Linked DNA regions of Macaca mulatta. The protein of the gene in region 1 interacts with the protein of each later gene in a pairwise test. Links are inferred from orthologs where the notes say so. Each region holds a gene or a part of one and is shown on either strand. Other genes may lie near its edges.

The links. The genes of interacting proteins can lie anywhere in the genome.
Region 2: the proteins of NME7 (region 1) and SYCE1 interact in binary tests that used the Homo sapiens proteins (3 or more experiments, as listed by UniProt). The two-hybrid records come from large-scale screens. The link is inferred for Macaca mulatta from reciprocal best matches to the Homo sapiens genes NME7 and SYCE1.
Region 3: the proteins of NME7 (region 1) and CFAP141 interact in binary tests that used the Homo sapiens proteins (3 or more experiments, as listed by UniProt). The two-hybrid records come from large-scale screens. The link is inferred for Macaca mulatta from reciprocal best matches to the Homo sapiens genes NME7 and CFAP141.
Region 4: the proteins of NME7 (region 1) and ZBTB48 interact in binary tests that used the Homo sapiens proteins (3 or more experiments, as listed by UniProt). The two-hybrid records come from large-scale screens. The link is inferred for Macaca mulatta from reciprocal best matches to the Homo sapiens genes NME7 and ZBTB48.

What each region holds. Positions count from the first base shown.
Region 1 is NC_133406.1:26,834,202-26,839,373, forward strand, and holds part of NME7 (nucleoside diphosphate kinase homolog 7), read right to left. Parts: intron 3,526-5,172; coding exon 3,418-3,525; intron 2,312-3,417; coding exon 2,145-2,311; intron 1-2,144. UniProt on the Homo sapiens protein: Possesses an intrinsic kinase activity. Displays 3'-5' exonuclease activity with a preference for single-stranded DNA. Does not seem to have nucleoside diphosphate kinase activity.
Region 2 is NC_133414.1:145,691,587-145,697,471, reverse strand, and holds the start of SYCE1 (synaptonemal complex central element protein 1), read left to right. Parts: upstream 1-2,011; 5' UTR 2,012-4,969; coding exon 4,970-5,042; intron 5,043-5,885. UniProt on the Homo sapiens protein: Major component of the transverse central element of synaptonemal complexes (SCS), formed between homologous chromosomes during meiotic prophase. Requires SYCP1 in order to be incorporated into the central element.
Region 3 is NC_133406.1:112,822,314-112,828,279, reverse strand, and holds the start of CFAP141 (cilia- and flagella-associated protein 141), read right to left. Parts: upstream 3,875-5,966; 5' UTR 3,740-3,874; coding exon 3,707-3,739; intron 2,733-3,706; coding exon 2,692-2,732; intron 166-2,691; exon of another isoform or gene 87-165; intron 1-86. Other genes in the region: C1H1orf43 (protein C1orf43 homolog), read right to left, coding at 4,883-5,078. UniProt on the Homo sapiens protein: Microtubule inner protein (MIP) part of the dynein-decorated doublet microtubules (DMTs) in cilia axoneme, which is required for motile cilia beating.
Region 4 is NC_133406.1:234,202,531-234,208,455, forward strand, and holds the start of ZBTB48 (zinc finger and BTB domain-containing protein 48), read right to left. Parts: upstream 3,875-5,925; 5' UTR 3,743-3,874; intron 3,353-3,742; 5' UTR 3,284-3,352; coding exon 2,594-3,283; intron 1,792-2,593; coding exon 1,550-1,791; intron 1-1,549. Other genes in the region: TAS1R1 (taste receptor type 1 member 1), read right to left, coding at 4,312-5,243. UniProt on the Homo sapiens protein: Plays a critical role in transcriptional regulation and chromatin remodeling. Acts as a regulator of telomere length. Directly binds the telomeric double-stranded 5'-TTAGGG-3' repeat.

The sequences.
Region 1 (5,172 bases):
GGAAAGCTGAAGCTAGTTCATGAGTTAAGTTGAATTATATTAAATTATCTGGATAACTGCTCCCCCGTTAGCTGATAGGCTCTATGGGGATCAATTTCACTCATCCTCCTCACTACAGGCTTTACTATAGAAAGAAAAGAGTTGAAAATGTAATTAGTTCATAAATTTTTTTCAACACTATACAAAACTGAGAACTAGACTAAATCAGTTGTTACACAGAAGGTGTTTCTGTGGAACGCTGATACACATACCCATATATTTCCATATGCTTACTTTTGGCCATTTAAATAAAACAATACATTTTTGAAACTCTTCGGTTTGGAGGAAGTTTATTTAAATTACCCAAATGGTTGCTGGATTTACTAACCCATATGCAATTAAGAAAGAATAAGAAAAGAAAATGGTGAATCAATTTGAGTCAGTAAAATATATACTACGTATATTTTCAGTAACTATATAAAGCCCAAATACTTCAAATTTGTTTTTACATTAAAATAGAATTCTTCTGTTCATCCTGTTTTAAAATCAGTCCCATTCAACAGTATTTGCCAGCATATTAATTAGAGGTTTAGTAGAAAGAGAATGAATTTTAGAGAAAAACAAAACATGGTTTTCTGGTTTCCCTTTACTTTCTAGCTGTGTTACTGTGGACTAGTTACTTACCCATTCTATTAAATAGATTTAACAACATTCACTTCAGTCAAATCATAGTTAAAATATAAAAATTATGATTTTTATGGCTGATATTTTATTTTTCTTAGGTCAGACTGTTAACCCTGACTCTCTAACTCACTTATTTTGCTAGTTTAAATAAAAATTTAAAGTAGTCTTCCAGCCTGGGCAAGATGGCCAAACCCCATCTCCTGCAAAATACCAAAAAATTAGCCAGGCATAGTGGTGCATGGTTGTAGTTCCAGCTACCTGGGAGGCTGAGATGGGAGGATCACTTGAGCATGGGAAGTCAAGGGTGCAGTGGGCTATGATTATGCCACTTCACTTCAGCCTGGGTGATGACAGAGTCAGACCCCGCTTAAAAAAATAATTAAATAAAATAAAGCAGTCTTGAACTGAGGTGTATGTAAAGTGCATATTAGAGTGTCTGGCATATAGTATGTGCTCCATAAATGAATGCTACACATATTTATTAGTTTTAAATCAAGGAATTATGGTTGGCATTTCCTTAATTCCATAGACTTTTACATAAGATCCCACAACATTAAAAGATTCCTGTTTATTTATCTAATACCTGTAATTTTTATCCTATTTCAAAGAAAGTGTTTGGTCTTCCTTTGTTACGAGGCATTCACCACCCCTCTGATCCATCACCCTTTGTGTACTAACACCCACACTGAGAATCCAATCACCTCAAGAACCATAAAGTGCTTATACAGAAAGACTATGGAAGTCACAGAAAGAGATATCTCATTACTATGAGAGTGACTCAGATGTTAGGCAATCAACTAGTCATTTGAGTAGCAGATCTCAAAAAATAGTGTGACTGATTTGTTTTTCCTATTGAATTAAATCATTTTTGGAACCTTTTATACATATAGCCTTAACTTCTACAAATAATCCCTATTTTAATTATAGCACCAATCACTCTACAGTTAAAAAAAAAAAAGTCCCCAAACCATACAAAATATAAGCTACAGAAATTAGATCCAAAAGAGATGACAAAGGACTTAAATTTTCATTTCAAATATAATTAATTCTAATCTCAGAAAGTTGAAATTCATAAATGTAGAGAATTTAAAAGTTAAAAAGTCATCTTGAAAATACTGAAAATCAATATTCAGAAGGAAAACATCAGAAGTCCTTGTTTTCTATAAGTCTAATTTTCAGCTGTATCTACAAGTTGTTCTTTCTCACTTCCGTTTTTTTCTTAGCCCCTTTTACAGATGACTGTATCTCTGAGATGTACTAAGTTGCATAGGAGACATAAATATGAATTAAGTCAGATGAGACATGTACAACTATGATATTATCAATTTTTTTTAATTGAAAAAAAGAAAAAGACAGAATGAAGACAACCATTTTCCAGGTCCTATCCATCCTCATATGGTTAAATACTCCCAGTCTTGATTCAGATTGACTTTGAACCCAAAGTTACAAAATGTAAAAAGATTATATAATTGTTTTCTTACTTTTCTTTCCTACTGCCCAGCTGGCGAGCTGTATATTGATCCCCATAGTCAATTAATACCAATTGTCGAGAAAAGACATTCACTTTGTTGCCTATAAATAAATCTTCCAAGTGCAGGCTATCATATTTGGTCCGCTTTAAAAAGGTGCGATGATTCTTTACATCATGCTAGAACCAGACACAAGAATATAACAAACAAACAAACAAAATTTATGAATAAGGAAAGTTAATCTTATCATAAGGTAGAAATAATTCTTAATTCTGTCTTATCAAAGATAAGTTATATTCTGTTTCTTTTTTGTTACAAATATAAATCATAATTTTTAATTACTTCCATATTTCTGAATCCAATCTGGTAATAACATAAAAGCTTTTTATTACACATTTAATACTCTTAAAACCCTGAATAGAAAGATCTGTTTATTACCAAATCATTTCAGTAGTCCTTACAAAATGCTAAAGAAAGAGTCATACACCCAAATTTCTGCTTTTTTGTGTACACAAAATCCCAATACCAAAAAGATCCACTTGTTAAAATTGTGTTGCCAATGAAGAAACACAAAGAAATAAACAGAAGCCTCTTAGCTTGATCCTCTCAATTTGACTTTTTGTAGCAGTAACAGCTTTCAATAATGAGGACATATTTATGACCATAATAATCCTTATCTATAATCACTTATTGGTTATTTCTTATCCAAAACATGAATAATCCCATTTCAGTCTTTTTTTTTTCTTTTCTTTTTTTTTTTTTTTTTGAGATAGAGGCTCATTCTGTCCCCCAGGCTGGAGTGCGGTGGCATGATCTCAGCTCACTGCAACCTCCACCTCCTGAGTTCAAGCCATTCTCCTGCCTCAGCCTCCCGAGTAGGTGGGATGACAGGCATGTACCACCACACCCGGCTAATTTTGTGTATTTTTAGTAAAGACAGGTTTTCACCATGTTGGTCAGGCTAGTCTCGAACTCCTGACCTCAAGTAATCCGCCCACCTCAGCCTCCCAAAGTGCTGGGATTACAGGCATGAGTCACCGTGCCCGACCCCCACTTCAGTCTTCTAACAACAACAAAAAAAATTTCCTATCTTTGACATTAAAAGTAAAGGCACAAGTTAACTTCTTATATTGAAATTATAATGAATATCTTTAAAAAGAATTTCCATATATATACACACACACACACACATATAAATGTGTTTTTAAAAAGCAATTATATAAAAGGCAATGGTTCCCATGTTCACCCCCTTTGCCGACATTCAAGCAAAGAAAGACTTATTTACCATTTCAACAGATCCATCCCCTGGGTAAAATAAAAGCTCATAACGTCGAAGAAGTGAAGCATTTGGATCATACCACTCTGCAATGAAAACGAATCTTTCACTATGACTCTGCAAAGAAAGACAGAAGAATTTTAACACTAACATATAAAGAACAAGCACTCTCCTGTAAGTCACACAAAATGAAAGCAAGAATTACCAATTTGCAAAAAACAAACTTACTCCTACCTATTGTATTGAATTTTTCTGCTTTTCAACAAAATATCAGTTATCAACACACCCTCAGAAATATTTCCTTTTAATTTCTCATATCTCAGAGATGACTTATGGATTGCTTATTACTTTATAGCCATCTAATCATCCTGAGTAAATTAACATTTTCTGAGAACATGAGCTCCTGATTTTACTGTGGTAGCAATTCAGTCCTTCTGAAAGCAAGTTTACATAGAGACTATCAATAAATTAATATAAGCATACATTTCTGAGGATAGCTCTCAATTATATGAAGTTTTGACTTCCCTAAATTTGAGAATCTAGTAGTATCAGAATATTACCATTAAAATTATAGTAAACATCTTTTTTCCTTAGTAATTACATATGATAGTATCTTTTTATAGAAATAGAGAATGTGTTAGTCTAGGACCTCTGAAAATAAATGTGAAGACAAGACTGAACATGCAAGAATTTCATTAAGGAAAATTCCTGTAATATAAAATGAGGAGGGAGCCAAGGAAGACTAGAAAAGCTGACAAAAAACAATGCAAGTTTGACACAGAGTGGTGGAGAGGTGCAAGCAAGGTTAAGTAGAATCATCCCAGATTGCTACACCCTCTAAGGAAGGTTCAGTAAGCCCATCAGGAAGTGCTAGAGCCAGGTGACTCCCAAGGACACGGAGGGGCCAGCTTTAGTATCCCTGTTCCTCTCAATCACTGGCTGGGAGCAGCCTTTGGGAAACAAGTGCTCAGCACAAAAGCAGCAGTGGATTTCAGAGAACAGCAGCTGGGACCCTTGGTCATTTAGGTTGCCTGTAGTTGGAGGTCTGTGAAGTACATTCTTAGGGCTACCACAGAGAGCAAAAAATGAAAAAAAATAAGTCAAAGATGGGTCCTTTTCCCTTGACTATCGAGCAGGATTTCCCATTATATATGTTAGTAAAAATACCCTCGCCCCAAAGGCCCTTCATTATAATAAGCAAATAAAAGCATAGGGAAGAAGGGAATCTAGGAGTTTTATTGCTAATTCTGGATTTGCCATCTGATGCTCTGGTTAGGGTAAATTTGGGGATTCTTTTTATGTTAATAATTGACTTATAAATTCTAATGGTAGAAGTTGTATGTCTTATTATGTTTATAACATATCCATAAACTATAATGTAGATGAGTAGTTTTTAAGACACTTTTATTTTTCCCACAATCATCCAAAGACATATTTAAACGATGCTGATTACTCAAGAGAAAATAAATGTAAAATAATAGACATACTATGACATTTGCAAAAGCCTTTCATCATATATATTTTTCATATTGACTATATAACAATACAGCTTTTTTGAGTTTAGGTTTCACTGTGCATTCTAGTATTGTACTCACTTACAAATAAAAATTTAAATATTAGTAAATTATTGAAATTTTTACTATCTATAATAAAATATTTACTTAAATACATAATTGAAATGTTGCCTTCACTAAAATAAGTACGAAATAGAAGAAATGACACATCTAACTAAAGCAAATGAAAAATCAATGAAACCTGGTACTT
Region 2 (5,885 bases), on another chromosome or scaffold:
TGTTCTCCTTGTTAATTTATTTTCTGTCTTGGAGGGAAGCTGGGTGGACCTGCTCAGGCGGCCCCCTAGGGCCAGAAGACCTGTTAGTCACTTTCAAATACATGTTCTTTCCAGAGGTTCTAAAAACACTGTTGTCCCTCTCACCCAGAAAGCTAAGCTTCTGTTCAGTCCTTAACGGTAGCTATAAATGAGAAGCACAGCTTGGTTTCCTTCTAATATCCGGCAAGTTAGAAGACAGAAAGTATTCATTTACGTATTCATCACATATTTGCAGGGCAACCCTACACGGGACAGCAGAGGTCCCACGCGGGCGCTGCACCCGGAGCCAGGCTCAGTTGAAACTCACCGGAGGCGCGGCCGCCCTGGGCTGGGAAGAGGCCGTGGGCCCAGGTGGCATCAGAACCCACAGGAGGGAGGCAGCTGGCCCAGGAGGGGTCGGGGCAGGCCTTTGGGGATCGTGAGAGTCGACCCCATCCTCCCTGAAACAAGGTCGAAGATTGAGACGGTCCCTGCCCAGTCCCGCAGCTGACAACACGGGGAGAAGCCGCACCTGCCAGGGTAGGGACCGCGGGGTGGGCTCGGGCCTCCGTGGGGCCGGCACAGGGACCCTCTCCTCTCAGGACCTCGGCCCTCATCCCCGGGCACCGGGACTCACAGGCGGATGGGCCCAGGTGGAGACCAGGGTGTGAAGGGGAAGGAAGCGGGGCGGGTGGAACGGGGCCGGATGCGGGGGTCACGGGGGACGGCGGAGCCCGGACTTTGTGATGCAGGAGACGGAGGGGACTGGTGATGGAGGACTGGAGGCCGCGAGGATGGGGAATGGGGACGTTCTTTTCACCTCCCACGGCTCACCCGGATGCGCCTCCGCAACTGCCCGCCCCAATCCCAGGGCGGAGGCCTCGCGCAAAACCCAGGCGCCTCGGCTCCGCGCTCCGGCTGAGGGTCTGCGCCGCCGCCCGCCCGCTCCTTCTCGCTCAGCCGCGGCCCCTGGGGAAGATACTGTGGCGCCCGGTTCCAACTGAGGCCTGTGGCGGGTAAGGCCGGGAGACTGAGGCGGGTACAGAGGCGGGTACAGAGCCGGAAGCGAGGGAGGGGATGCAGTCGTCGCCCAGGTGGCTGCGTCCGGAGGAGGCCCCGCGACTCTACCCTGTCCTATCCCCCGCCAGCTGCTGAACCAGGCGGCCAGGGACTGCATGGAGCACGGGGCTTGCCCGGGAGGGACCGTCCCTGGGGTACTGGCCTGCTGGGGCGGGGTCCCTATGGTGTCAGCAGCCGCTTGTCCGCCGCAACACCCGCAAGGCCCGCACCCAGGCTCTGGCCCCAAAGGTGGGCACCAGGCCCAGGCACTGCTGGCCTGCGCTGCAGACCCTGATCTGAGCCAGCACTTGGTCCCCGCTAACAGGTACTCCAAACACAACACCCCTCCCCTCATGCTGCCCCCCGACATCCTAGCAATGCGTGCAGAGCCCAGGAGCATGGCGGTCCTCCCCCAGGCCTACCTCCCCGCACCCAGGGCCTGGACGCCCCCCGAGGCCTGGACACTCCCACCGCGGGGCTCCATCCCCGCTTCTACGCCCCCAATCCAGGTACACAACCTTCAGCTGCAGAACCCTCCTGCCTCACCTGCCACTTCCCAGCGCCTCCCCCAGGCCTAAGTCCTTGATGCTAGAGGTTAAACCGCACCCCCCTAGGCCTGCGTGGGCCTCCAAGATGCTGAGGGCACCCTGATCCCACAAAAGCCGAGGGTTCCTCTGCTCTCCAGCCCTGAGGCCTCCGCCCCTGGGCACCCGATCTCCATGGAAACCGAGGGCCCTTTCCCACTCTTCCTGCAGGCTTGGCCCCATGAAGATGAACTAGGCACCCGCGACGTGCTTGGCTCTGCTACCGGCGGCCGCTTTCCTCTGAGTCAGCGGTGCAGCCAAGGGCAGCCGCGGAGGGCTCCGCGGGGGCTTGATAGGGGCCTCGAGGGTGCGTGTAAGGCCGGCCCGGCGCTATGGTGCCGCGGGCTCCTCGCTGCGAGTGGCTGCGGCCGGAACGGCCGTGAGGGCGGCAGCGGGCCTGGCAGCAAGTTCAGGCTGAAGAAGGGCCGCGGGACCCGGGGAAGGCGACCTTGGAGGACGATGAGGACTGGGTTCCTGGAGGCAAAAGGACCGGCCTCGGCAACTACACCTACCGGGCGTGGACTTTGGGCGCTGGACCCACGCGCGGCCCCCACTTCTGTCTCGTACTGGGCGGCGCCCTCAGCACCCTGGGGCTGCTACGGCCCTAGGCCTGGCTGGGCTCAGGGGCGACATCTGGCCCCCAGCCCGCGCCGATCCCCAGGCTCCTCTGACCTGGGCTCCCCCTTCCTCCCTTGCCCACAGTCTTGGAGCCCCAGTTTGTGCAGGAACTGCAGGCTGTCCCTGTGGACCTGCCATCCACCGTCCTGCCCACGCCCCCTCAGCCTCCTACCTCCCACCTAGAGGGGATCACGAGCCCTGCCCCACCCCTTCCAGGATGTTAGGGTACCCTCAGTCAAAAAGGCAGCGGCCTGTGGCTCCTGTACCAACGGCCCAGCCACGCTCCAGAGCTGCCCAAAGGGAGGTGCCAAGACCAGGAACACAAGCCACCCCGGCTCCCCCACCTGCCCTGGGGCTGTGGTGACCCATGGGCAGGGAGGCGACCTCAGGCTGGTTCTGCCCCGAGATCCTGAGGAATCTGACCCTCCCCAAAAGAAGCAATGAAATGGACCAAAGGACTTAAGGATTTGCAGGGAAGTGAGGGGAAAACGGTAGTTGCTAACCACCTGCCCAGAAGAGTACACCTCACGGCCCAGAAACACTCTCAAGCAAGAAAACCGTCTCTCCAGGAACCCTAACCAAAACCCTAAGTGCAACCCCTACCACTAACCCCTGACCCTAATGCTGACCCTTAATCCTAACCCCTCACCCTAACACCTAATGTCAAACACGAACCCTTAATCCTAACACTAACCCCTAAACCTAAACCCTAACCCTAACCGATACTCCAATCCCAAGGAAAAGCACTAAACCCCTAATCCGAAACCTTAAGCCTAAACCCTAAACCTAACCCACAAACCTGAGCCCTGACCCCAACACTAATGTTAACCTCTAAGCCCCAACCCTAACCCAACCCCAACACAAACCCCTAACCCCTAATTCTAACCCTACCGGGCGTGGACTTTGGGCACTGGACCCACGCGCAGCCCCCGCTTCTGTCTCGTACTGGGCAGCGCCCTCAGCACCCTGGGGCTGCTACGGTCCTAGGCCTGGCTGGGCTCAGGGGCGACATCTGGCCCCCAGCCCGCCCCGCCTAACCTGACCCCTAACCCTTAAATCCAACCCTAACCCATGACCCAACACCTGAACCCTAACCCTAACCTCAACCCATAACCTCAACCCCTACCCCAACCCTAAACTCTAGCTGCAGCCCGAGCCCGAATCCTAATGCTACCATAAACCTAACCCCCGAACCCAAACTTGAACCCAACCCCTACCCCTAAAACCCTAAGCTAAACTGAAACCACAAACCCTAACCCCTAACCCTACTGCTACCCCTAACCCCTAACCCCTGAAGCTAAACCTAACCATAACAACGCTAAACTTAAGCACTAACCTAGCCCTACCCCTACACTAAGCCTTAACCCAACTGTAACTCCTAACACTAACCCTAACCTCTAAACCTAACCCCTTACCCTAAACCGTAACCCCTAACCCTAACCCCAAAACCAACACCTAACCCTAACACCTACTCTAAAACACTAACCTCTAACCCTAACAATCCTTAGCCTAACACCCAAACCCTAACCCTGACCCTAATCTTCTATCCTCGAAACCCTAACCCCAAACCCTAACCCTAACATCCTAACCCCAACCCTAAAACCCTGATCCTAACCATTAAACCCTGACCCTAACGATTAAACCCTGACCCTAAATGCTACCCCTACCCCAACCCTGGACCAACCCTAACCCTACCCCTAATCCTTCCCCATCCCTAACGCTAACCCCAAACCCTAACCCCACCCCAACCCTAAAACGAACTTCTAACCCCTAAACCCTAACCCAAACCCTAACTCTACCCCAACTCTAACCTTTATCCCTAACTCTAACCTGTAGCCCTAACCCAAAACCCTAAGGTAACCTTTTATAGGTTGGGATTCGAGGCTTTGTATTTAGGACGGGCGGGTGTTCTGGTGTCTCCCACTCACCCGCACGGGAAGTTCTTCTGTTGGTTCTTCACAACCAGTCACGGTGCATCGCGGCCTCCCCTGGCCGGTGAAGGGCTGGTTCTCCCGAAAGCCTCGGCTCCTCCTCCCTCCTCCCAGTGCCCTCCAGGCCTCCCCGGTGGCCCCAGCGTGGCAGGGCCCGTGCAGAAGGGACCGTGGGCTTGTGGCCGGCATGGGCCGCTGTGGGCATGGAGCTCACGGGAACGCGGCCTAGGGGCAGGCTGCGCTCCTCTGCGCCAGCGGGAACAGCGGGCCCCGCGGGGGCTGCCACAGACGCGTCACTTGCTGGGGTCCGTGCACTCCCGCGGTGGCGTGGCCAAGCAGAGCCGCGACCCCGTGAGGTTGCCGGGGCCATGGTGCCTCGTGGAGTCCTCCGTGAGACACGCACATTTCACAGGCAGTTGCTGCCTGGCACACGCGCACTGGTCGCTCGTGGTGAGGGCCTCCAGAACCAGGGCCGGCCCCCCTCGGAGGCCAGCACACATGCGCGTGAGCACCCAGAACCGGGCCAATCGCGAGCCTGGACGGCCGGACGTGGCCCTCGCGGGCTTTGTAACCCTCGGGCCTTTACGCATGCGCACTAGCTGCCAGGCAGGCCGGCCGAACATTACTTCACATATCCAGAGCGCGCGCGGGGGTGCATTGCGCAGGCGCGCTGCCTGGAGTCCCGCCCCCTGCAGGGGTTGCTCCAATCACCACTGGAGGCTCCCTCCCAAGCCACCCGCGCTGCTGAGCTGAGAGGAAATGGCGGGGAGGTCCCTGGCGTCGAAGGCCGAGCCCACCGCCGGAGCCACGGACGGGGCTGAGAAGGCCGAAGGTAGTGGAGGGAGGCAGGGAACTGTGCGTGAGGGTCTGACCTCGCCGAGGCGGGGCAGGGTTGGGGCGCGGGTGGCGACTACTTCCTGTCAGTCCTGATGGTGCTGACTGAGACTTAGCGGGTTTCTTCAGAAAACTTTCCGCCAAGATGAGGGAGTGCTGGCCCGCACACCCCTCACTTCGTCTTAAAGCATTGAACCTTTATCGTGGTTGCTCCAATTTTGGTTTAGGTAATTAGTCAAAAGACATCCTGTCGTTCCACAGACTTTCCATACACACCTCTTAAAACAAAAAGGACATTTTCCTGACGCTCCCAATCCCAAGGGAATTCCTAATTCCACACTCCTCTTTCTAGAACCAGCAAGTGTCCAGATTTCCCGGTCGCACTAACCTGGTTCTTGACAGTGGGTTCCCCCACCCAGCATCCCGACGCCCCGGGGAGCCGGGGGAGGCCGACTCCCCGCAGATCTCCCGTTTGTTTCTCCCCGACCCCGACCTGCCGTAGAGGCTCCTACCTCACCCTGGGAAGGGAGGGACAAGGCAGCTGGTCAGAGTTGTACAGAAGTCCCGAAATTGCAGCCCAACAAAGAGAAAGAACACTGTCCTGGCCGTTTCCACTTCAGGACGCTGTGTACCTCTGGGTGTTTTGGGAGAATTTTCAAACTTACACAAAAGTGGAGAGAATTGTACGGTGACGTCCCTCCTGCTGTCACTCAACTTGTCACTCTGTCCTGAGCTCATGTGTCCCCCCTGAGTTAAAACGCTGCAATTAACAAACGCCACGGTGGCTGCCTCCAGCCCTACCTGCGTGAATATCATGGCAGGTGCTCTGTCGTGTTCTTAC
Region 3 (5,966 bases), about 86 Mb from region 1:
TACTACAACGTCAACCTCTTGGGCTCAAGCAATGCTTCTACCTCAGCGGTCTAAATAGCTGGGACAACAGGTGTGTGCCTGGCTAATTTTTATTTTTTGTAGAGACGGAGTCTCACTATGTTACCTAGGCTGGTCTCAAACTCCTGGGCTCAAGTGATTCTCTGCCTTGGCCTCCCAAAGTGCTGGGATTACAAGTGTGAGCCACCACACCCAGCTACTTGTGCACGTTTTCAGAAAATGTTTCTATCATAAACTGGGAAGTACATCTTCTTTTTTAAAAAACATGAAATCAGCCGGGCGCGGTGGCTCACGCCTGTAAGCCCAGCACTTTGGGAGGCGGAGGCGGGTGGATCACGAGGTCAGGAGATCGAGACCACGGTGAAACCCTGTCTCTACTAAAAATACAAAAAAATTAGCCGGGCGAGGTGGCGGGTGCCTGTAGTCCCAGCTACTCAGGAGGCTGAGGCAGGAGAATGGCATGAACCCGGGAGGCGGAGCTTGCAGTGAGCCGAGATGGCACCACCGCACTCCAGCCTGGGCGACAGAGTGAGACTCCGTCTCAAAAAAAAAACAACATGTAATCAGGCCAGGTGTGGTGGCTCACCCCTATAATCCCAGCACTTTGGGAGGCCGAGGCGGGCAGATTACTTGAGGTCAGGGGTTCGAGACCAGCCTGGCCAACATGGCAAAACCCCAACGTGGTGAAACCCTGACTCTACTGAAAATACAAAAATTAGCCAGGTGTGGTGGCAGGCGCCTGTAATCCCAACTACTCGGGAGGCTGAGGCAGGAGAATTGCTTGGACCCGGGAGGTGGAGGCTGCAGCAAGCTGAGATCGTGCCACAGCACTCCAACCTGGGCAACAAGAGCGAAACTCTGTCTCAATAAATAAATATATATATATATAAAAGCAATACTGTCATGAACATTCTTGTGTATGTACCTTCTAGTGCTTTTCCAAGTATGTATATTTAAGATAAATTCCTATTTTTGCCAGTTCAATGGGTATGTAAATTTAAATTTTGATAGATTTTATCAAACTGCCTTTGTAAACATGGCTGTATCAACCTAGACTCCTATTGAAATCATGTGGTGTTCTTTTTTTTTTTTTTGAGACGGAGTCTCACTCTGTCGCCCAGGCTGGAGTGCAGTGGCCAGATCTCAGCTCACTGCAAGCTCCGCCTCCCAGGTTTACGCCATTCTCCTGCCTCAGCCTCCCAAGTAGCTGGGACTACAGGTGCCCACCACTGCGCCTGGCTAGTTTTTTGTATTTTTTAGTAGAGAAGGGGTTTCACCGTGTTAGCCAAGATGGTCTCAATCTCCTGACCTCGTGATCCGCCCGTCTCGGCCTCCCAAAGTGCTGGGATTACAGGCTTGAGCCACCGCGCCCGGCCATGTGTTCTTGTTTCTTCACATCCTTGCTAGCTCTGGATATAACCTGTGAAACCTTAAAAAAAGGCTTCTCCTATCCCATTTCAGACCACTTTAATCAGAATCTCCTAGGGTTAAGAACTAAGCATCGGTGTTTATTTATTTAAATTAAATTTTTTGGTAGAGATGGGGGTCTTGCTATGTTGCCCAGGCTGGTCTCGAACTCCTGAGCTCAAGCAATCCACCTGCCTTGGCCTCCCAAAGTGCTGGGATTACAGGCATGAATGAGCTAATGTGCCCAGCCCATTTTTTGTTTTGAGACAGGGTCTTCCTCTCTCACCCAGGCTGGAATGCAGTGGTGGCATCACTTGACCTGGGCTCAAGTGATCCTCCTGCTTCAGTCTGCTGAGTAGCTGAGACTATAGGCATGCACCACCACACCTGGCTGATTTTAATTTTTTTGGCAGAGACAGGCTTTTCCTATGTTGCCCAGGCTGGTCTCGAGCTCCCGGGCTCAAGCAATCCCCCTGCCTCAGCCTCACAAAGTGCTGGGATTATAGGTTATAGGTGTGAGCCACCATGCCAGGCTTGCATCAGTTTTTATTTTTATTTTTTATTTTTGTAGAGACGGAGTCTTGTTCTGTCGCCCAGGCTGCAATGCTAGAGTGCAGTGGTGCGATCTTGGCTCACTGAGTTCAAGCAATTCTCCTGCCTCAGCCTCCCAAGTAGCTGGGAGTACAGGCACACACCGCCATGCCCGGCTAATTTCTTTTGTATTTTAGCAGAGACAGGGTTTCCCCATGTTGCCCAGGCTGGTCATGAACTCCTGATCTCAGGCAATCCTCTTGCCTCGGCCTCCCAAAGTGCTAGGATTACAGGCGTGAGCCACCGTGCCCGGCCGCATCAGTGTTTTTTCAAAAGCTCATCAGGGTGAAAAGGCTATGTAGCCCAGTCTTGTGAATCTTCTCATTCACTGATTCAACAAATACTGCACTACCAACCACATAATTAGTACAAAGCCAGGCAACAAATACTTGAATTCTTAATAAAAAAAAGAAAATAAAAACATGCTTCAATTTTCCTCCAGAGAATGAGAGGCAGGGGACAATAAAAACCAATCTATATCACCTAACCTACTGGGCACTAACAGGCTGATCTCATTTGCTTTGAGGACAAGGCTGCTTCTCACCCCTTCTGCATCTCTTTTCCTTCTTAATGAGCCCCTAAAGAGATGCAGCAGAATTGGGAGATGGCCCAGGGAAGACAGCAGAGTGGAAAGGTCAAGCTGAAAGGTAAAGGGAGGGGATAGAAGCAGATTACCTGTCAACCATCTTCTTAAGTCCCATGGCCCTTTGAAAACTCTGCAAGAAAACGTAGTTCTGTTGATCTGCCTCAGTCTCCAGAACCTCACCCCTAGAACCCTGTTCTAATGAGAGACATAGACTTTTTTTTTTTTTTTTTTTTTTTTTTGAGACAGAGTTTTGCTCTTGTTGCCCAGGCCAGAGTGCAGTGGCGTGATCTCGGCTCACCACAATCTCCGCCTCCCGGGTTCAAGTGATTCTCCTGCCTCAGCCTCTGAGTAGCTGAGATTACAGGCATGCACTGCCACGCCTGGCTAACTTTGTATTTTTAGTAGAGACAGGGTTTCTCCATGTTGGTCGGACTGGTCTCGAACTCCTGACCTCAGGTGATTTGCCTGCCTCAGCCTCCCAAAGTGCTGGGATTACAGACATGAGTCATAGCACCCAGCCACATAGACATTTTTGAGAAAGCAATTTCCTAGGGGGAAATAGGGAGAGGAAAGCTCTACTTTCAGAATGGATCAAAGAAAACATACAGGGGTTGGATGGAACACATATTTGAATACCTACTATGTTCTAGACATAGCCTCCCCTCCTGTTACTAACTACATTGTACCCTTGTTACATCAAAAGCCTTTCCCAGTAAAAGATGCACTTATAGTAAATTGATCTGGGGGCCGGGCGCGGTGGCTCACGCCTGTAATCCCAGCACTTTGGGAGGCCGAGGCGGGCGGATCACAAGGTCAGGAGATCGAGACCACGGTGAAACCCCGTCTCTACTAAAAATACAAAAAATTAGCCGGGCGCGGTTGTGGGCGCCTGTAGTCCCAGCTACTCGGGAGGCTGAGGCAGGAGAATGGCGTGAACCTGGGAGGTGGAGCTTGCAGTGAGCCGAGATCGCGCCACTGCACTCCAGCCTGGGCGACAGAGCGACACTCCGTCTCAAAAAAAAAAAAAAAAAAAAAAAAAAAAAAAAAATTGATCTGGAAACCTCATCAAACTTCAGCCCAGCCCCTCCTTCCAACTCTGCGTACCTCTTCTACTTTTGTCATCTTTTCCACAGACATATCTACAGATTTGCTTGATACAGCCTGAGGAGACTGACAGGCTCCTCTTTCTGTTTAGTTCAGTAACCAAGGTTTCAGTAGTCATAGTAACATTTACGCCTCCAACAATAACCCTGGGCCTAGGAGTTGATTGGCCACCTGGCCTGTTGCCCCAGAAACCTTGAAAGAATCCTTGTTCTGCATCCTTCTGTTGATGACACAGGCAATTCTATGAGCAAGGGTCACAGTCCTGATTTTAGGATTTCTTGTGCTAGGGTCCCAAGGAGTATCTGTATGGTCCTAGGTCCAGGGTATGCACACAGTCCCACCAATTCTCTGGAGGCAAATCCTCACGCCTTATACCCTGTTAGAAATGTGCAGATAACATTATCAAATGCCTGTTTTATTAAAAGACAACTATAAAGGACTGATTCATGTTTTATTTGATAATAGTTCATTTTATTAAATAATTTATAAAGTCAGACCAGTGCATTGGCTTGTTAGGGGAAATCATTCCTTCCTACTGTCACATAGCCTGGCAGATTATGTCAGGTGCCAAAACATTCTCTTTTATTCAATTTATTCATGAGAGTGTGGAATTAAAGTAGATCCTTGCATGTCAGGAAAGCTGCAACACATCTGGTTTAAGTGGAGCACAAGGGTAAGTTATTCCACATTCACCAACTTCCCCACTTGACCTCCCACCAGTTCCTGTCTTTTTCCATCAATCAACTCTAAGACGCCCTAAACCCAAACAGTTCCCATTCAACTGTGTACAAAGGTATAGATATGGAAGACATCTCTCTCCAACTCTCACCTTTGGAATTAAATAAACCTGGAACAGGGAAGGTGAACTGGCTGAAACCAAGTGAAGATTTTTAAGAAGCTTTGACAGAAACATTAAGAATAACACCTGAATGCAAATCCAGAAAAAAGTGCTACTGGGGGAAAATAGTCTTAGCCAATGTTCTAAAAATGCCCATAAGAAAAGGTTGGGGAATTACCCTTTAGACACAAGCTCTAAGAACTCTGGATACAACGGGAACTTCGATGGATACAGTCTGGGCCTGCTGAGTCAGATGTCCCCAGGGCAGCCCGGCAAGCAGCCTGTCTTGCACACTGCAACTGACTGGCTTCATCTACGGCAAGAGTCCTTCAGCTCCATCACAGAGTACTCTCCAATGTGTTATAGTTATCCTTAAAGCTCTTCAATTCAAGGAAGTGCTTGGCACGTTTACTCTTCTGACTTGAGGGGAGGTATGTCACCTGGATGGTTGTTGGGGAGACCTCAGGGGACTGAGTTAGGTCTTTGGCTGCTGACTGGTGGTGTCGCTGAGAGCTCCCAATTCGTGCTTTAACCCTGAAAAACACAGAGGAGAGGTCACTCACAGAATGAGGACTAATCAAATAAATCAGGGCTTATCCCAGTCTATAAATGCAGCAATAGCCACAAATAGTTAATTGTGTCCTATCTGTCCTATTTAGTAAACTAGTTACTAAAACCCCATCTAGTAGCTTAGAAGTAGCAGAGAGGCTGAGCACGGTGGCTCATGCCTGTAATCCCAGCACTTTGGGAGGCCCAGACAGGTGGATTGCTTGAGGTCAGGAGTTCGAGACCAGCCTAGCCAACATGGTGAAATCCCATCTCTACTAAAAATACAAAAACTAGCTGGGCGTGGTGGTGGGTGCCTGTAATCCCAGCTACTTGGGAGGCTGAGGCAAGAGAATCACTTGAACCCAGGACACGGAGGTTGCAAGCCGAGATTGTGCCACTGCACTCCAGCCTGGGTGACAGAGCGACTCCATCTCAAAAAAAAAAAAAAAAAGAAGTAGCAGAGAGGCTGGGCATGGTCACTTATACCTGTAATCCCAGGACTTTGGGAGGCAGAGGCCAGAGACCGCTTGAGCCCAGGAGTGTTTGAGACCAGTCTGGGAACCAAAGTGAGACTCCATCTCTACAAAAAATTAGCCAGGTATGGTTGCAAGCACCTGTAGTCCTGGTTCCTCAGGAGGCTGAGGCAGGAGGATCGCTTGAGCCCAGAATTCGAGGATGCAGTAAGCCATGACTGTGCCACTGCACTCCAGCCTGGGCGACAGAGACCCTGTCTCTCTCTCTCACACACACCCTAAAAAAGTAGCAGCACTCCAGCCTGGGTGACAGAATAAAGGCCCTGTTTGGGTGCCCTGACACACACCTACTCACACCAAAAACAACTAGCACCAGAGAAACCAATTTCCCAGAGTTCTT
Region 4 (5,925 bases), about 210 Mb from region 1:
GCCGGGTGCAGTGGCTCACACCTGTAATCCCAGCACTTTGGGAGGCTGAGGCAGGCGGATCACGAGGTCAGGAGTTCAAGACCAGCCTGACCACCATGCTGAAACCCCGTCTCTGCTAAAAATACAAACAAAATTAGCCAGGTGTGGTGGCACACGCCTGTAATCCCAGCTTCTCAGGAAGCTGAGAAAGGAAAATTGCTTGAACCTGGGAGGCAGAGGTTGTAGTGAGCAGAGATGGAGCCACTGCACTCCAGCCTGGGTGAGTGGAGAGGAGAGACTCCGTGAGTCCCAGCACTTTGGGAGGCCAAGGCAGGTGGATCACGAGGTCAGGAGTTTAATACCAGCCTGGTCAAGATGGTGAAACCTCATCTCTACTAAAAATACAAAAATTAGCTGGGCGTGGTGGCGGGCACCTGTAATCCTAGCTACTCGGGAGGCTGAGGCAGAAGAATCGCTTGAACCTGGGAGGTGGAGGTTGCAGTGAGCTGATATCATGCCACTGCACTCCAGCCTGGGCAACAGAGTGAGACTCCGTCTCAAAAAAAAAATAAAGTAAAATAAAATAAAATAAAAAAAAACATACGCCGAGCATGGTGGCTCACACCTGTAATCCCAACACTTTGGGAGGCCGAGGCGGGCAGATCGAAAGGTCAGGAGATCAAGACCATCTTGGCCAACATGGTGAAACCTCGTCTCCACTAAAATACAAAAAATTAGCCGGGTGTGGTGGCGCATGCCTGTAATCCCAGCTACTTTGGAGGCTGAGGCAGAGGAATCGCTTGAACCCAGAAGGCAGACGTTGCAGTGAGCTGAGATCGTGCCACTGCACTCTAACCTGGTGACAGAGCAAGACTCCAACTCAAAAACATAAAATAGCCCCTGGGGGCTGGGCATGGTGGCTCAAACCTATAATTCTAGCACTTTGGGAGGCCAGGGTGGGTGGATCGCTTGAGCCCAGGAGTCTGAGACCAGCCTGGGCAACATAGCAAAACCTTGTCTCCACTAAATGTAAAAATAAAAATTTTAATAGCCCCTGGAGTTCCTGGTTACTTTACTGGACACTGAAGGTTTAGACAACTGGACTTTAATACTCCACTGACACCCCAGAGTGAACACTTCCCTGGAAACACAGGTAGCACTGACCCAAGGCTCAGCATTGTGGCCCAAAGCCCACACTGCCAGGCTTCAAGCCCACACTGCCGGGCTTCAGAAACACCTAAGGTTGGGCCTCAGCTCTAGCACACGGGCCACAGGTTTCTCATTCTGTCCGCAGAGGCCAGCTGAAGGTCAAGGTCCACAGTGGGTGGAACCTGTTGACAAGATGTCCACAAACCCATCTCCAACCACAGTACTCACAGGACAGTGAGGAAGAAGAATCTAACCCAAAGCAGACTCTCACTTCCTGATTGCCAGAGGTGTGCCAAGGCCAGGCACTATGTGGGTCTGAGATGGATCCCCCAGCCCCTACCTCACCCAGAAGTGGGACGTGCAAGACCCCTCCCCCAACGCGGGAATGGCAGACAGGAAAATAGAAAAACAGAAAGTTTACCTGTTGTGGACTTTTAGATAATATTTGCTGAGGAACTTTTTATGACATGTGGGGCATTCGACCGGCACCGCTGTACCTTTTCTGTTCTCAGCAGGCTCAGCTGCTAGGGAGCCCGCACTCAGGGCTGGCTCAGCTGCACAGGCCTTTCGGATTACATTTGACTTCCTCCTGGTCAGCACAGCCTCAGGCTCAGACATGTAATCACCATCCCCGTCGTCCTCCACTTGAACCACCACTTCCCACTAGAGCACAATAGGCAGCAGGAGGGGGTGGGGTCACCAAATGAATCAGCAGGAGTTGTAGGGACCCAGCTCCAGTTCCATCCCAAGCCCCAACCCTGACAAGTCCCTTCATCAGACACTGTTCCTTCAGGGGCCCAAGGCAGAGCATCTGAGTCTTGGATTCAGAGGAAAGTGACTGTATTTGTGGGGAACTGGAAGCTCGGATGGAAACACTATCCTGGGGAAACACCTGTAACCCTGATGCTGCCCACTCCTCTCAGGAAGGTGGCAACCATGAATAGCTGGGGCTTGCAGAAAGGTCAGCCTGAGATCACCAGCTTCCTTTGTTTGGAGAAAGCCCGTTCCAAACCCACATTAACAGAGATTGTCTTAAGGTCCACTTTTTTTTTTTTTGAGACAGGGTCTTGCTCTGTCGCCTAGGCTACAGCGTAGTGGCACCATCTCAGCTCATTGCAACCTCCACTTCCTGGGCTCAAGTGATCCTCCCACCTCACCCTCCCAAGTAGCTAGGATTACAGGTGTGTGCCACCACACTCGGCTAATTTTTGTATTTTCTTTGTACAGATGAGGCCTCGCCATGTTGCCCAGGCTGGTCTCGAACTCCCAAGCTCAAGTGATCCACACCCACCCTGGCCTCCCAAAGTGCTAGGATTACAAATAGACTTCGTCCATCCCTGTCGTCCTCCACTTGAACCACTCACGTGAATGAGCCATCACACCCAGCCCAGGGTCCCTATTATACCAAAAAAAGTGTCTATTCCCTCCATTTGTCTCCCCAGTCCCAGCACCCTGGGCACAGTACCTCATTACTCCCGCCCTGCAGCTGGCCACCTTCAGCCTCGAAGGGCCTTGGAGGCATTTTGCAGTCCTCAGGTTCCTTGTCCTCGGGGGAACAAGGCTTCAAGGCCTGCTTGAGTTTCCCACAGAGGGAGGAGGGACTCTCTCTCTGAGCTGGGGAATGGAGCTGGGGCCTCTGAGGACTATGACTGCCTCTGGGCTCCTGATCTCTGGGGACTAGACCCAGAGTCCTCGAAACTTCCTCTTCTTGCAAGCCTGCCGGCTCCTTGAGGAGGCTGTTCACATTCTGGGAGGCAGGGGGCCCCAGCCCACTCTGGCCACCTGCTGCCTGTCCCACTGAAGTTTTGGGCTTGAAGCTCTGGCACAGCTCTACGGCCTCTGGCACTCGCAACTCCCTGGCTGCCAGGAGCACCTGATCCCGGTTCCCTGAGGTGAGAGCGAGGTGACCAGTGTAGAAAAAGTCCAACAAGAGGCCAAAGATCTCAGCGAAGCCAGCAGGGAGGACGACACTACCTCCTGAGCCATCCCCGTAGAGGCTCTGGAAGAAGTGGCTGCAGCAGGCAAGGACACTCCAGTGCGCCTTAAACACCAGGCCCCCAACGTCCAGAGTGGCGTCGCAGTACTGGCCCTTCTCCCGCTGCTTGTTGAGCTCCTGCAGAACCCTCACACTGTGCTGGACGAAGGAGCCGTCCATGGTCTGGAGGGCAGGGAGGCAGAAGTGACACCCTGGCCAGCCCAAGCGAGCGTATGCAAGAGAAAGCCCCTGGAGTCGAAGAGAGAGAAAGGGGAAGTTGGCCTCCACTCAAATAATCACATTTATCAGCACGAGGGCTTGGGTCAAGGTGAGGGGTGCACGCGGAAGGCAGGAACATACTTGACAGCCTCCCGGGGACCGGGGGCCATATTGGGTTGGCCAGGGGGGATGCTGATGGGGGGGTCAGGGTCATGAAGAAGGGCCTGGTGGGAAAAATCCAAGTTTGGGGAAAGAAGGCACGGGATGAGCGCGAACTGACTGGCCTGGCACAGTGAGAGGATCCTGGACTGGGGAGGACGGCGGCCGCGGACAGGTAAGCGGAGCCCACGCCGCGCCCACAGGTCCCGAGCGGCCGAGCGGAAGGCAGCCACGGCGGCCCGCAGCCCCTCCCTCCCTCACCTCGTGCCCTCCTCACCCAGGCAGGTCCTCCCTGAGCTGGCCCCACCAGCCCCCGGCTCCGTCGCCTCCACAGCCCACGAACCAACTGCCCGGCTATGCGTGCCCCGCCGACCGTGCGGAGACGCAGCCGTCTCCGCGCCGGACGTGACGTCAGAGCGTGCCGGCCAGGAGGGGCGCCTCGGAAGCGTAGATCTTCTAGCTCCGGCACCCGAGGGCGGGGCCCCGCAGAGAACGGCCAATGGGATGAGGGGATGAGGCCACGCCCTGTTCTTTTGGCGCTGGGCCCGCCTCCGGGGTTGCCTAGCAACGTCAAGCTGGGCACCAAGCCTTTTCCAGGTTCTGGGTTCAGACTTGAATCCGCGGCACCTCACCCTCTTCCCCGACAGGAGACCAGATACGCATTTCACTTCTTTATTGGCAGCCCGGAGCCTGGTCTGGGCTCTCCCGGGCGCTTACACGTCCCAACCCCAGACTGAGGTGCCCAAAGGCCTCCCAAACAGCCCTGGCCTGCTTGACCTTCGACCCTCAGGACAGAGAAAGCTACCAGCTATGCCTGCTGACCCCACTGGTCAGGTGGAGCCGCGGTGCCTCGTGTAGTCCTGAATGGAGGCCTGGAAGTGCTCTGTGCTGTTGAGGTCTGGGCGGCAGAGGATCACGTAGCACTTGGGCAGAAAATACCCGCCGAAGCCGCTGCTCAGGCTGCTCAGCCCAGCCAGCATGTTGACCGCGGGCAGATACTTGCCGTCGTAGACACTAGCCGTGGTGAAGAAGGCGATCCAGGACATGAAGTTGAAGAGCAGGCTGAAGGTGACACATTTGGCCTCGTTGTAGTTCTCTGGCAAGTCCTTGCCCAGGTAGCTGCAGGCAAAGGCACTGATGGAGAGAAGGCCATTGTAGAGAAAGGCCAGTATGAAGCCCAGGGAGTTGGCCTCTGTGCACTCAAGCATCACCAGATGGGGGAAGCGCTGGTATTCCCTAGTGGGCAGTGGAGTCCACACCACCAGCCAAGTTAGACAGATAAGCAGCTGAGCCGCTGAGCTGATCATCACAAACAGGCCAGCACCATGGTTTTGGACCCAGACGCGGTAGAAGGTAGGTGCCTTGGCGGAAAACTTGAAGATGATGATTAGTTGGAAGGAGCGAACTGTCAGGCAGGACAGGAAGATGGTGAAACCAAGGGCAAAGAGGGCCTGGCGCAGCAAGCATGCAGGCCTCGTGGGCTCCCCAAAGAAGCCATAGAGGCTGCCGCTACCTGCTGCCAGGGAGCCCAGCATAAGAAAGCACAGGCGGCCCCCTGCTGACCTCACCACAGGGGTGTCTAGGTGCCAGGCAAACAGGCCAGCAGTCCCAAGCAGCAACAGCAGCAGCAGTGTGTTAGCTGCCAGCAGCACCCAAGAGGTGTGCTCTTGACAAGCCAAAAACACCACAGTGCGTGGGAAGCAGGTCTGGCTTCCCTCAGGTGCCCACTCTTCTTTCCCACAAGGCTGGCATCTGTAGAGGTCTGAAAGGGAAGGCCAAGAAGGTTCCTGAGAGCCAGATGAGCAGAGTAGGAATAGGAAATAGGGGCCTGCAAGATACTGGGAGAATTGTACCCAGGCAGCTAGACTGTGCTAGGCATGGTGGGATGGGGGTAGCCGGGAGTGGGGCCTGAGGCCAAGCATTTCCTCAAAATGCCTGTGTTAATTACACACTGGAGACCCACAGGTCAGTTCTATATGGCTCATGATCCCATGAGGGTTTTGCAAACCCTAGGGAGGACCTTACCCTGGTAGCTCTGCCCACATAACAGAGAGGCTACGATCCAATGGGAGCAGCCTGCTCCCAAGGGAGGGCATTTTAACCCCTCTCTCTCTCCAGCATTTCCATGAACCATTTTCCTTAGCTGCTGCTCTGTGGTTTCTCTGAGTCCTGACCCTCTGAGGACAGAAGGGAAGTATTCCTGTCCCTACAGAGATGGTGAAAGGAAAGAATGTGGCCCCTGGACACCAACGAAGGACATGAGTCCTTAGCTATTTAATTTGCTCTCTGTTCTTGATCTTGCATTGCTGGATGGGGAATGCTGTTTTTTTTCTCTGTTGCAGACATGCTAGTATCTGTATTCAGGCCAAGCTGTTCAAGGAGCTAGCTGTCTTTGGCATGGGCAACAGAAGGGACAGTAGGACAAGAGGGCACAAAGGGAACAA